Xenopus tropicalis: one gene and its partners. The protein of the gene in region 1 interacts with the protein of each later gene in a biochemical or structural test. Links are inferred from orthologs where the notes say so. Each region holds a gene or a part of one and is shown in the gene's direction. Other genes may lie near its edges.

Region 1 (3,500 bases):
GTTGGGGTAGGACTGGGGCAGATATAGGGAAGAGATCATAGTATGGCTGTTGGGGTAGGACTGGGGCAGATATAGGGAAGAGATCACAGTATGGCTGTTGGGGTAGGACTGGGGCAGATATAGGGAAGAGATCACAGTATGGCTGTTGGGTAGGACTGGGGCAGATATAGGGAAGAGATCACAGTATGGCTGTTGGGGTAGGACTGGGGCAGATATAGGGAAGAGATCACAGTATGGCTGTTGGGGTAGGACTGGGGCAGATATAGGGAAGAGATCACAGTATGGCTGTTGGGGTAGGACTGGGGCAGATATAGGGAAGAGATCACAGTATGGCTGTTGGGGTAGGACTGGGGCAGATATAGGGAAGAGATCACAGTATGGCTGTTGGGGTAGGACTGGGGCAGATATAGGGAAGAGATCATAGTATGGCTGTTGGGGTAGGACTGGGGCAGATAAGAGCACTTTTTATGATGGTGGGACACGTTTTGGGGCAGATTGTAGGACTGTGAATAGATTTCATTAAAGGGATGGGTTGGCTCTCCCCATTATGCTCTGTAGGCCCCTCCCACTGCTTGGGATTGGCTGCTGTGTTTTCTCCAGCACTTTATGATTGACAGACAGAGGGAGGGGCCCTCTAAACCAAACTGTCAGTGGGGATTGATGGGGAAATTGTTGGCCAGCAGGGGGCACTGTTACAGGGGCAGTTAGTGTAGGTGCAGAAGGCTCCGCCTCCATCCCATCTGCTCCACCCCCGATCAGGGATACGATCCCAGCACTCAGTCAGATCTGTATTTTTTTTTTTTATCTTTAAAGGGTTATGTCTTTTTGCAGGTGTTCCGGGCGCGCACCCCTCCCGAGGCCATCGCCCTGTGCAGTCGGCTGCTGGAGTACACGCCCACTGCCCGCCTCACCCCATTGGATGCCTGCGCCCACTCCTTCTTCGACGAACTGCGGGACCCCAATCTGAAACTGCCCAACGGGCGCGAATTCCCTGCTCTCTTCAACTTTACCACTCAAGGTAACGCGTCTCCCTTCCGCCCAATAGGGAAAGGGCTGCTGGGAGTCGGGGGTTAATGTATAGACTCGTCCCTGGTGATGTTCCCGATAGCGCCCAATCAGATCTTTGCTTTTATTTTCTAACGCGTAGGTTCAAATGTAATTGCTGATTGGTTGCTATGGGCAGCAACACCGGGGATGTATGTTACACCTTATAATAAATCTGCCCCACAGTCTGTGGGTGCCCCGGCCAGTGCCGAGACTGAGGCAGCTTCTCTTCTTCTTCTTCTTTACTACAGAGCTGTCAAGCAATCCTTCCCTCTCTTCTATTCTCATCCCTGCCCATGCTCGGAACCAGGCCTCCGTGCCCACGCCGTCAAACTCGACATCGGCATCAGGTGAGCAGAGAGGGGCAACTCCCACGTCCCTATGCTGGTATGGGGGGGCCAAGGATTCCGGGGGGGGGTTCTGTACCCCCTTACACTACACAGGCCCTGACCAATGGGGTTATACTCACACTGTGATGCTTGGAGGCAGTGTGTCGGGCACCACAGCAAGTTTATTGTCCTAGTGGTTTCCCTACATATAAACTATGTTGCTTATTGCCCCAAGCCCTAGGCTTACTGCCCATGTTATCAGTTTCCTGCCTGTGCTGCCCCCAGCCGGTATTATTGCTGCTCAGGGGACAATAAAGTGACTATAGAGCTTTCCCTTGGGCAGTTTTACCCCAGTCAGACAGATATAAGGCTTACCGGCCTGCAGTTCCCTGCTAGTGATCCCGTTTCCCTATAAACAGCCCAAAGGCTTCTGTATATTGTGCCCCAGTCAGGCGGATACTGTGCCCCAGTCAGGCGGATACTGTGCCCCAGTCAGGCGGATACTGTGCCCCAGTCAGGCGGATACTGTGCCCCAGTCAGGCAGATATAAGGATTGCCGGCCTGCAGTTCCCTGCCAGTGATCCTGTTGCCCTGTATTTCTGCCCAAAGTGACTCTCCATCTCTCTCCCTTGCAGAGACGAGCACCGGGGAGCGCTGTACGAGCACCAACGCAGCCTCCGCGTCGGCCTCCAATTCCTCCTGAGCCCCCACGCATGCGCCGCTCACGGGAAAAACGGGCAAAAAGTAGCAAAGGGGGTTGGGAAACAGAGAGAGGGCGCCACCCACCCTGTCCCTGGGACTCGCAAACACTGGCCACACCCACCAAGGATAAAGCTGAAACTGTAAAGGAAGCGCCACCTTCTGTTCATTTTTAGTGGTTCAGTTTTTTTTTTATTATTGTTATTTAACCTTGTAAAATATCTATAAATACAGATTTTTTTTTTAATTTTTTTTTTTTTTTTTTAATTTTTTCTCTGTAAATCTCACTCCGATGGAGTTTTCCTTGCGAGAGCCGAGAGGTGAAGTTTGTTTTTTGTTTTATTTGCCTCTCCTCTCTCCCTCGGACTGGTTACCTTCTCCTGCGCTGGTATAGGCCACCGCCGCGCTCTAAGCTCCTCCCACACACCCCCATCTGCTTTCCCCCCCCTAAGGATTCTGCTGTAATCACCGGGGTTGGTGGTAGTCAGGGACGGGTTGGCTGTACGGAATACATAGAATGAAAGCTCTTGAGGTTCCATCAGTTTGCAGCAGCCCCCCACGGGCCCCCCCACACCAGTTTGATTCTCAGAGTGCCTTATTGCGTTACGTGCGCGGGTTGGAAGCCTGTACAGCCTGCATCCGTGCGCCCCCCCCCCCTTGAACCCCCGGCTCAGAGGCACGCGCAGCCCCCCCATTCCTTTCCCCTCGCTGTCGGGGGGGGTCGCCAAAAGATACATTTCATTGGCTTTCCCAGTCTGTCGTTAATTGGTCAGTTTTTTTTTTTCTGTTTTTGCCAAATCCAGGGGGGGGGTGTGATTGTGAGACGTAGAAGGATTAACCCTTTCACTGTACGCTGGCGCCGAGGAGTTAACACATGAGCCATACATTGTTATAACAGGAGCAAGTTACCTCACCCTGTGCCGCCCAAGGGCATTAGGATGGCAGATGCCTCCGGCCTCCTGTGTTTGTCAGTGGCAAGTCCGGCCTGTGTATGGCACGGGCATATGTAGCCACAACTACCCCCCCCCGCATGTCAGACTGCCCCCCCTGCTGCTACTGACGCTTGGAATGGTGCAGATAAATGGGGGCTTCACCCACACAGACTCACTGGCACCCCTACTCCGGCTGGCACCCTTTCCTCTGGCTACTGACGGGCACCAGTCCCTGCTTATTCCCTTTGTACAGTGTCTCAGCCCTGGCAGTAAACCTGCCCCCAGTCTCTGTTCGTTTGCCCTGCTGCCCCAGCAGCTGCTGAAGTGCCCAGAACACGCTATCCAATCAGGTACTGTATAAATCCGAGTCTAGCCAATCAGATGCTGTATAAATACAAGGCGATACCAGTAGATTTGTATTCTGCCCAGCAGGGGGCGCCTCAGCCTCACAGTTGGTTTGTTCCATGTAGAACTATAATAACTGTCCCTGTAGGCA
Region 2 (3,500 bases), on another chromosome or scaffold:
TCGCCTTGTTGTGTTCATATGTATTTTATTTTTGTCTTTAAGGATTAAGGAGAAGTTTCCTCAAGCATTTGATGACATTTGCCTCTATTCTGAGGTTTCCCACTTATTAGCACATTGCACATTTCGACTCCCTTCCCGGAGATTTATTCAGGAGCTCTTTCAAGATGTTCAGTTTCAGATTGTGAGTATGTACAGATGACTTGTAGTGGGATCTTTTGCCCTTTATTACCATGGCAGCCAGAAGCTGAGGCTAATTAGTATAATGTCACACTGTGTGACAACACGGGTGGAGCATTAGCCAATGGGAACCACCCACCTCTCTCTGTATTAAATGCACTGAGAGGCAATGCATCAGTCTATACGCACAAAAGGCAAAGGTATACATTTCCACTCTGAAACACTCTGTGAGTACACACAGGCTGATGCGGTGCCTGGCAGCACACTTTACATGACATTAGTCATATTGTTGAAAAACATGTAGAGCAGTAATTGTTTAGGTAGCTGGGGTGCAATGTGTAAGGGGCTCTGTGTGAGGCATTCAGGGGGTCAGGCGGATCAGTTTTGTGCACCCATAAACCCTGTTGCTTTACACTGTTGGGTGAAAATGGAGTGTGATTAGAGGGAATCAGCCAATCGGCTGGCTTCCACCCATTTTTGTGCCTGCAGTCAGAGGCACTGCGTCAGGCAGGGTGCAGACACGCGGAGTGGATTTCAGTGCAATAATGGGTTTCTGCAGCAAAATCCGCTCCCTGTGCCTGCACCCATACGCCTGCAGCTTCTCTGCTTGCAGACACACAATTTCCCACAAGCTCCGACAGCAGCACCCTAGGGTTACTACTACAGATCTGAGATTTAAAAGGGTGGTCCACCTTTACGTTAACTTTTAGTATGTTATAGAATGTCCTATTCCTAGCAACTTTGCAGTTGGTCTTCGTTTTTTTGTTTTTTTTTTAATAGTTTATTTGTCTTCTTTTTCTGCCTTTAGAGGGGGGTAACTGACCCCAGCAACCAAAAACTATTGCTCTGTGGGGCTTCAATCTTATTGCTACTTTTTATTAATTCTCTTTCTATTCAGGCCTTGGCCTTTTTATATTTCAATCTCTCCTTCCAATCACTGCTTTGTTTCTAGGGTAAATCAGACCCTTGCAACCATAAACCATAAAAAAGACCAACTGCAAATTGTCTCAGTAGCACTCTCTACATCATACTAAAAGTTAATTTAAACCCAAGTTGACAGATTGTGTGCTGTGATGGCAGTTGGTGCTGGCACCACAATATGCTGGGGGAGCACTGACTGGGTGTGTGTTTAATGCAGATGCATGAAGAGGCCGAGGCTCTCCTAGCGGTGCCACCAAAGCCCATGGTAATAAGTACGGAACCGGAATCCTGACCTTCAGTCGTCTCGGAAGACTGCAAATGACTTTGTCTGATTAAGCAGACGGACAGACGGAGGAGCACGTCCTGTTATCCTGCTCCGGTGCAAACTGGTACCTGCCAGGGGAAGGAAGAGCCCGAACACCGACGCACCCTGCTTCTCCCTGGCAATTTCTGGGGGGACCCTAATAGTCAGTATCTATGTATGCAAGAGCCAAGCACTGAAACGCCTGCACCGCTCACCTGTAAATAACCATGCGGAAATCTCTCGGACAGGAAATGCCGACTCCTGCGCTGTTCTTGGCGAGCAACGCAATGCCTTCTCTACGGACAGATGGGTACTTCCCTGCATGTCCCTTCCAGTCAGCGGAGACTTGCCATGTTGTATAGAGGCAGCTCAGGGACAAAGGCCCTGTGATGTATTTTCAAAACACTACTTGGAAATAATGTATTTCTTCTTGTTTTTATAGCACCGGCTAAGGCACCTCCTCCCTTTCCTATAACCTTTCCATTGCCACTGCATTTTCGGACTCCTCGCCCTAAACCTATTTTATTGCCATGTCATGCATTGTGTGCTCTTGTTTTGGAACCAACACTGATCCTTCTCTGGTTAAGGAAACTAACGTAGCTCTCCTTATTCATCACTAGGCAATATCTGACACAGTGCCATTTTGTGGCCAGTCTAGAAGCTTGCAGCAGCCATAATACATTTCAGTGCTACGGCATGGCTCTCGTGGCAATCAGGCTAGAAGGTAATTTTGCACATTCCATGATAAAAGACAATCTCAACATTTATTAATTAGACAAATTAATATGATTTAGGATTGCTGTGAACATACGGAGCTACCCGAACCTCCCTCCCTCTTCCTATTAAAGCAAGTACTTTTTATTTTTCTTTAATTATTTGCACAAGACTGGTTTGTATGTACAGGAGAGGACGATGGCTTCAACACAGGCACTTTTTTTTTGCTTTTTAAAAACATATCTATCTAAAATCGGATGGAGATGTTCAGGGGGGGGGGGGGGGGGGGGGGGGATTTTTTTTGTATGTTTGTTTGCTGCCGGAAACTCTGCCTTCAATGCGTTGCGGTGCGATGGCGATGGAGGGCTTTCTAGCAGCAAAAGGACGCAGATATGCAAATATGTATATATACAGCATGATCACCTTCACTACATGAGTATGTAATTAACCTTTAAACTGTTGACCAGCTTGAGCATATATATGTGTGTGTGTATGTGTATATATATCATTCAGCTGGACTGTTGGAACCTGTGCAAATATTCAGTGAGCTCTTAGCTGAAAGGTGTCAGTCTCTCTCTCACAAGATATGTCCTACTTACCTGCAGGGGGTTTAGTCTTGTAGGGACTACAGAATGCCCTTAATCTCTCTTATGATATATATAATCATATCCCCAGCTGTCCAGTTTCTTCACTGGAAGTCATAATAGACAGGGGCACCGATTACCTGCAAATGGGGCGGAGCTTGGTCCTGTTGCCAAGTGAGCCTTGCGCTTAGGACTTTTATAAAGGACAGTGTCCTTACCGTGGGGTATAGACAAAAGAGTAAATGCCAAGGCACAATGAATTTAAAGCACTTTGGCAGTAGGGTTTCCTAATGGTGTTTTATATCAGTAATCTATATAAACTATTCGTCATGTTCTCCTTCCCTTCTGGAACCTGAATGCAATTGGCTATTGTATTTATAGAAACTTATCTTTGACTCCCATAAGTGGGGAACTTGTATTGTAGCTAATGTTTTCCACAGTAAGCCTTTTTCCTACTCTATTAAATGTGTAATAGATTCATGTATCAGGCCTGGACTGGCAATCTGTGGGTCTGGCAAATGCCAGAGGGGCTGCTGTAAGGTGCCATAGTCACTATTTATTGGGCTGGTGGGGGGCTGGTTGGGCCCCTGTGTACTTGATATGCCAGGGGCTATTTTGACCCCCAGTCTGGGCCTGTTTATCACATACTAGGGGTGCGCTGAATCCAGGAATTGCTTTGGATTGGATCCCAGTACTTTTTGCGAGAGTCTGATTTGCCATTGAAGCCAACTAGCGTATCTGCAATATTTTGGCAAAAATGGTAGCATTTCCCACAGCTGCCATTACTTAATTGTATTGAA
Region 3 (3,500 bases), about 130 Mb from region 1:
CTGATATCACTCACTTAAGAACAAGCCTGTATAAGAGCCAGAGGCCACCCGTGACCCATATCAAGACAGAGCCCACTTCAGTATTTAGCCACTCAAGTGATGCTGAACCCACACAGAGTCTTCCTGAATTCACCAGCATCTTCAGTTCCCACCAAAACGCAGATGTTAATAACATCTACATCAAACAAGAGCTCCCTTCACCAGAGCTTCCGCTCTCTGTCAATCCTCAGCAGGGCCAGTTATACCAGCTTTTAAGTTCGCCAGACATTGATATGTCTAACTCCACAAACCAACCCTCAGTTATGGACACTATTAATAGTGCTTCCATGGCCACAGACATGTCTGCCTTTAATACACTTTCTTCTCCAGTACAACAGACTGCAATGAAACAATTCCAGAGCATCCCTCAGTGCTCATATGGCATGCCTAGCCAATTTCTGCACCAGCAAGAAGGAACCTACTTTCCACCTTCTCCTCCTAGCTCTGAACCAGGCAGCCCAGATAGGCAAGCAGAGCTTCTCCAGAGTTTAAACCCTCCACCATCTTATGCAGCCACGATAGCATCCAAGATGGCCATTCACAATCCACCCTTACCTGCACAGGTGCAAATAACAGCCCCTGCTATACAATCTGTACGCTACAACCGTAGAAACAACCCAGATCTGGAGAAAAGGCGCATACATTATTGTGACTACCCTGGTAAGAACCTACATGTAATTGTTCAGGGGTTTATACAAGGTAACGGTCTACTGACTTAATCAAAAGCTTAAAGGAGAGCTAAAGCTTAACAAAGAATGTGTCTAGACATGCAATGCCTTATGTTTTGGGCTTCTGTACTAGCCCAGGGCCACTAGCCATAGCCCTTTAGCAATGAAGGTCTGTGCCTTTGAATATGCGCACATGCTCTGGGCTACTTTCAGCTACCTCAGCTTAGGGACATGTGCACAATAAATAATATATACACTATACACTACAATAATATAAAATCCACCATTCAAGGATTATTGGTAATTAATTCACATTACTCAACAGCAGAGAAACCAAGGTATTCTGAATTTAATCAGCTGTGTAGCATCACCAACTTTGACATATACAACTTTAACTTTCTGGTAGTGTTTTTTACTTGCTTAGCTTGCCAATACCAGCCCCATTGAGTACATGCAGTGCCACAGATACACAAATGATTAAGATGGGGAGCTCCCATGGACAACTTTTTAAGACCTGTCCTACAGCTGCTAAACTTTTGGGCTAATAAAGCAAGTTTGGTAAATAAACATGTCTAGCAGTATTCATTTCTAGGTTTTAGTTCTCCTTTACTTATAGGGTGCATATTTCTTGTTCATTAGATAGTTGGATATGAATGAGACCATGATATATTCTTTACACAATACATTCCTTCTCTGAATATTTGTATTTAAAAATATGAGCAGGTGCTGCAGTACTGTATGTTTTAGCAGAGACTGAGCATTAACAGTACTGGTACCCCTAGTGATTATAATGAAATGGATTTGTCCGACATGGAGAATAGTGAGAATTTTGCATAAAAACTGCAGAGATGGAACCTGTACAATAATAAACCCATCTGACCTGTGTGTATAGTTGTGCATGTTCCACCTGTATATGGACATGCGCATGCAAGAATCTGGGTTATATATGTCACTGTGGCGAAACTGTACTTTGACAGCACTTATTTAAAGTAAAATCTGTCAGGTTTATAGGGCTCCATTTTGTGTAAAGAACGTCATCACCAAGTCAGGTTACCTCTAACCTTGTTGAATTTAGAGCAGTTAGATGATTTAATAGGAATAACAAGATTTTTATAAGCATCCTGCTATTTTAACGTTAATGTTTAACTTGTGTCTTTAAATCTACAATGTGCTTTTGCTTTTCGCATTCTTTATCTAAAACCCCAGTCCTTTACAGTGCAACACTGGGCAAAGAGATTAAAGGAGATACTACTTCAATAAGTAATAGTTCCAGGACAAATATGGTTGTTCTGTATATGAAAAATAAACCGGGGTTATTTGTACGACATGTTTCAAACTGGATTAAGTTATATAGCATATATGAAAAGAAATGACTATATATTAACTAAGAAATAATTTTAACAAATGAGTTTCATATTTTGAAGCATTGTATAACATAGGAGACCTTTCTGTGTGGAGAACTTTCTATATGAAGTTTATGCACACTTGGATAAATGTTATCTCTGGGCCTTCTGTAGGCTCACACTGACTTTTGGTGCATACTTCCTGAGATATATACACATTTTCTAGTGAATTCTACATATTTTAAATGCTTCGCCATTATGTCAGTGGTCAGTCTGAGGTTGAACAGGTCGAAAACAACACAGATCATCCCTGCTCCCTATCCATTGAGGGTCACCAGCATAGTGCTGAATTTAGCATAGTGAAGCAAATTAGGAACTGACTCGGTCAGTAGTGCTTTATTTGCACCCTTATGCAGTCATCATGATTTAGATTCCAACCCTTATACATAAGGGATGTAAAAATGTAAAGGAAATGAAAGGTGTTTTCAGTGAGACTTGAGGATGCCAGCACTAATTGTGCATGAGTTAGGACAGCCTTTTAATGTGAAAGTTAATCATTAGGAACAGAAAGAAAATGATAAAAGTAGCAGAGAGTCCAAGCAATGCACAGAAGCAAATGTGTCACTTTCATGTTAGCAACAGCAAATGCCAAAGTAATAATAAACTGCGCTGTACTTATAATTCTGGAATCTCCCTAGGTATTTTTAGAATGCAAGAATGCAGATGGATATCTAAAGCTCTGAATAACTTTGATAAATAAGTCCGCTCAATAGGAATAAATATACTTGCTCTGGCATTTGAAAAACTACACCTGTTGCAACTTTGAGGAATTCTTTTTTTCTTTACACAGAAAACCCACAAGGAATTCAGATTCTTCATATGTAGTATTTTACTCTTGTTAAGGGCTATGGCACATGGCGAGATTTTAATCATTTTGTTCCCAGAGGTATATAGTAGCTAGCAAAATGGGGACAAGAAACTGAAAAATTGCCCCTACACTTCTTTGGAAATTGCACTGCGCAGTCAGGCTATTTTTGTTTGGAAAGTGATTGCACTATACCTGGCAATTGTTATAGAAGTGAATTGGGGGGGGGGGGCATTGCCTTAAAAATGCGGGGGCTGCTTTTGGCATCATAGCTGCGAGTATCCTGCAAAAGAATACATTAAATGCCTTAATGGTAGACAGAGTGTTAGCGATGTTCTCTGGGCTGTTGCTTCGTGAAATGTTCATTCACAATGATAACCACCATGCTTTTTTACTCTTCTATTGCAGGGTGCACAAAGGTGTATACAAAGTCATCCCATTTAAAAGCCCACCTGAGAACACATACTGGTATGTGCATTTTTTGTTCAATTTAATGGCTGTGTAAATATTATCAATAGAAGTCTCCTCTTTTTGAAGTTGGTATGTTTTTCAATCTAAAACCTCTCATTCATGGCTAATTTTGTC

The links. The genes of interacting proteins can lie anywhere in the genome.
Region 2: of the proteins of gsk3b (region 1) and rictor, one has a biochemical effect on the other in vitro, tested with the Homo sapiens proteins (2 studies listed by BioGRID). The link is inferred for Xenopus tropicalis from reciprocal best matches to the Homo sapiens genes GSK3B and RICTOR.
Region 3: of the proteins of gsk3b (region 1) and klf5, one has a biochemical effect on the other in vitro, tested with the Homo sapiens proteins (2 studies listed by BioGRID). The link is inferred for Xenopus tropicalis from reciprocal best matches to the Homo sapiens genes GSK3B and KLF5.

The regions. Positions count from the first base shown.
Region 1 is NC_030678.2:1,904,337-1,907,836, forward strand, and holds part of gsk3b (glycogen synthase kinase-3 beta), read left to right. Parts: intron 1-813; coding exon 814-1,018; intron 1,019-1,295; coding exon 1,296-1,394; intron 1,395-2,008; coding exon 2,009-2,076; 3' UTR 2,077-3,500. UniProt on the Homo sapiens protein: Constitutively active protein kinase that acts as a negative regulator in the hormonal control of glucose homeostasis, Wnt signaling and regulation of transcription factors and microtubules, by phosphorylating and inactivating glycogen synthase (GYS1 or GYS2), EIF2B, CTNNB1/beta-catenin, APC, AXIN1, DPYSL2/CRMP2, JUN, NFATC1/NFATC, MAPT/TAU and MACF1.
Region 2 is NC_030677.2:197,070,334-197,073,833, forward strand, and holds part of rictor (rapamycin-insensitive companion of mTOR), read left to right. Parts: intron 1-42; coding exon 43-181; intron 182-1,315; coding exon 1,316-1,390; 3' UTR 1,391-3,500. UniProt on the Homo sapiens protein: Component of the mechanistic target of rapamycin complex 2 (mTORC2), which transduces signals from growth factors to pathways involved in proliferation, cytoskeletal organization, lipogenesis and anabolic output.
Region 3 is NC_030678.2:127,155,012-127,158,511, reverse strand, and holds part of klf5 (Krueppel-like factor 5), read left to right. Parts: coding exon 1-699; intron 700-3,323; coding exon 3,324-3,383; intron 3,384-3,500. UniProt on the Homo sapiens protein: Transcription factor that binds to GC box promoter elements. Activates the transcription of these genes.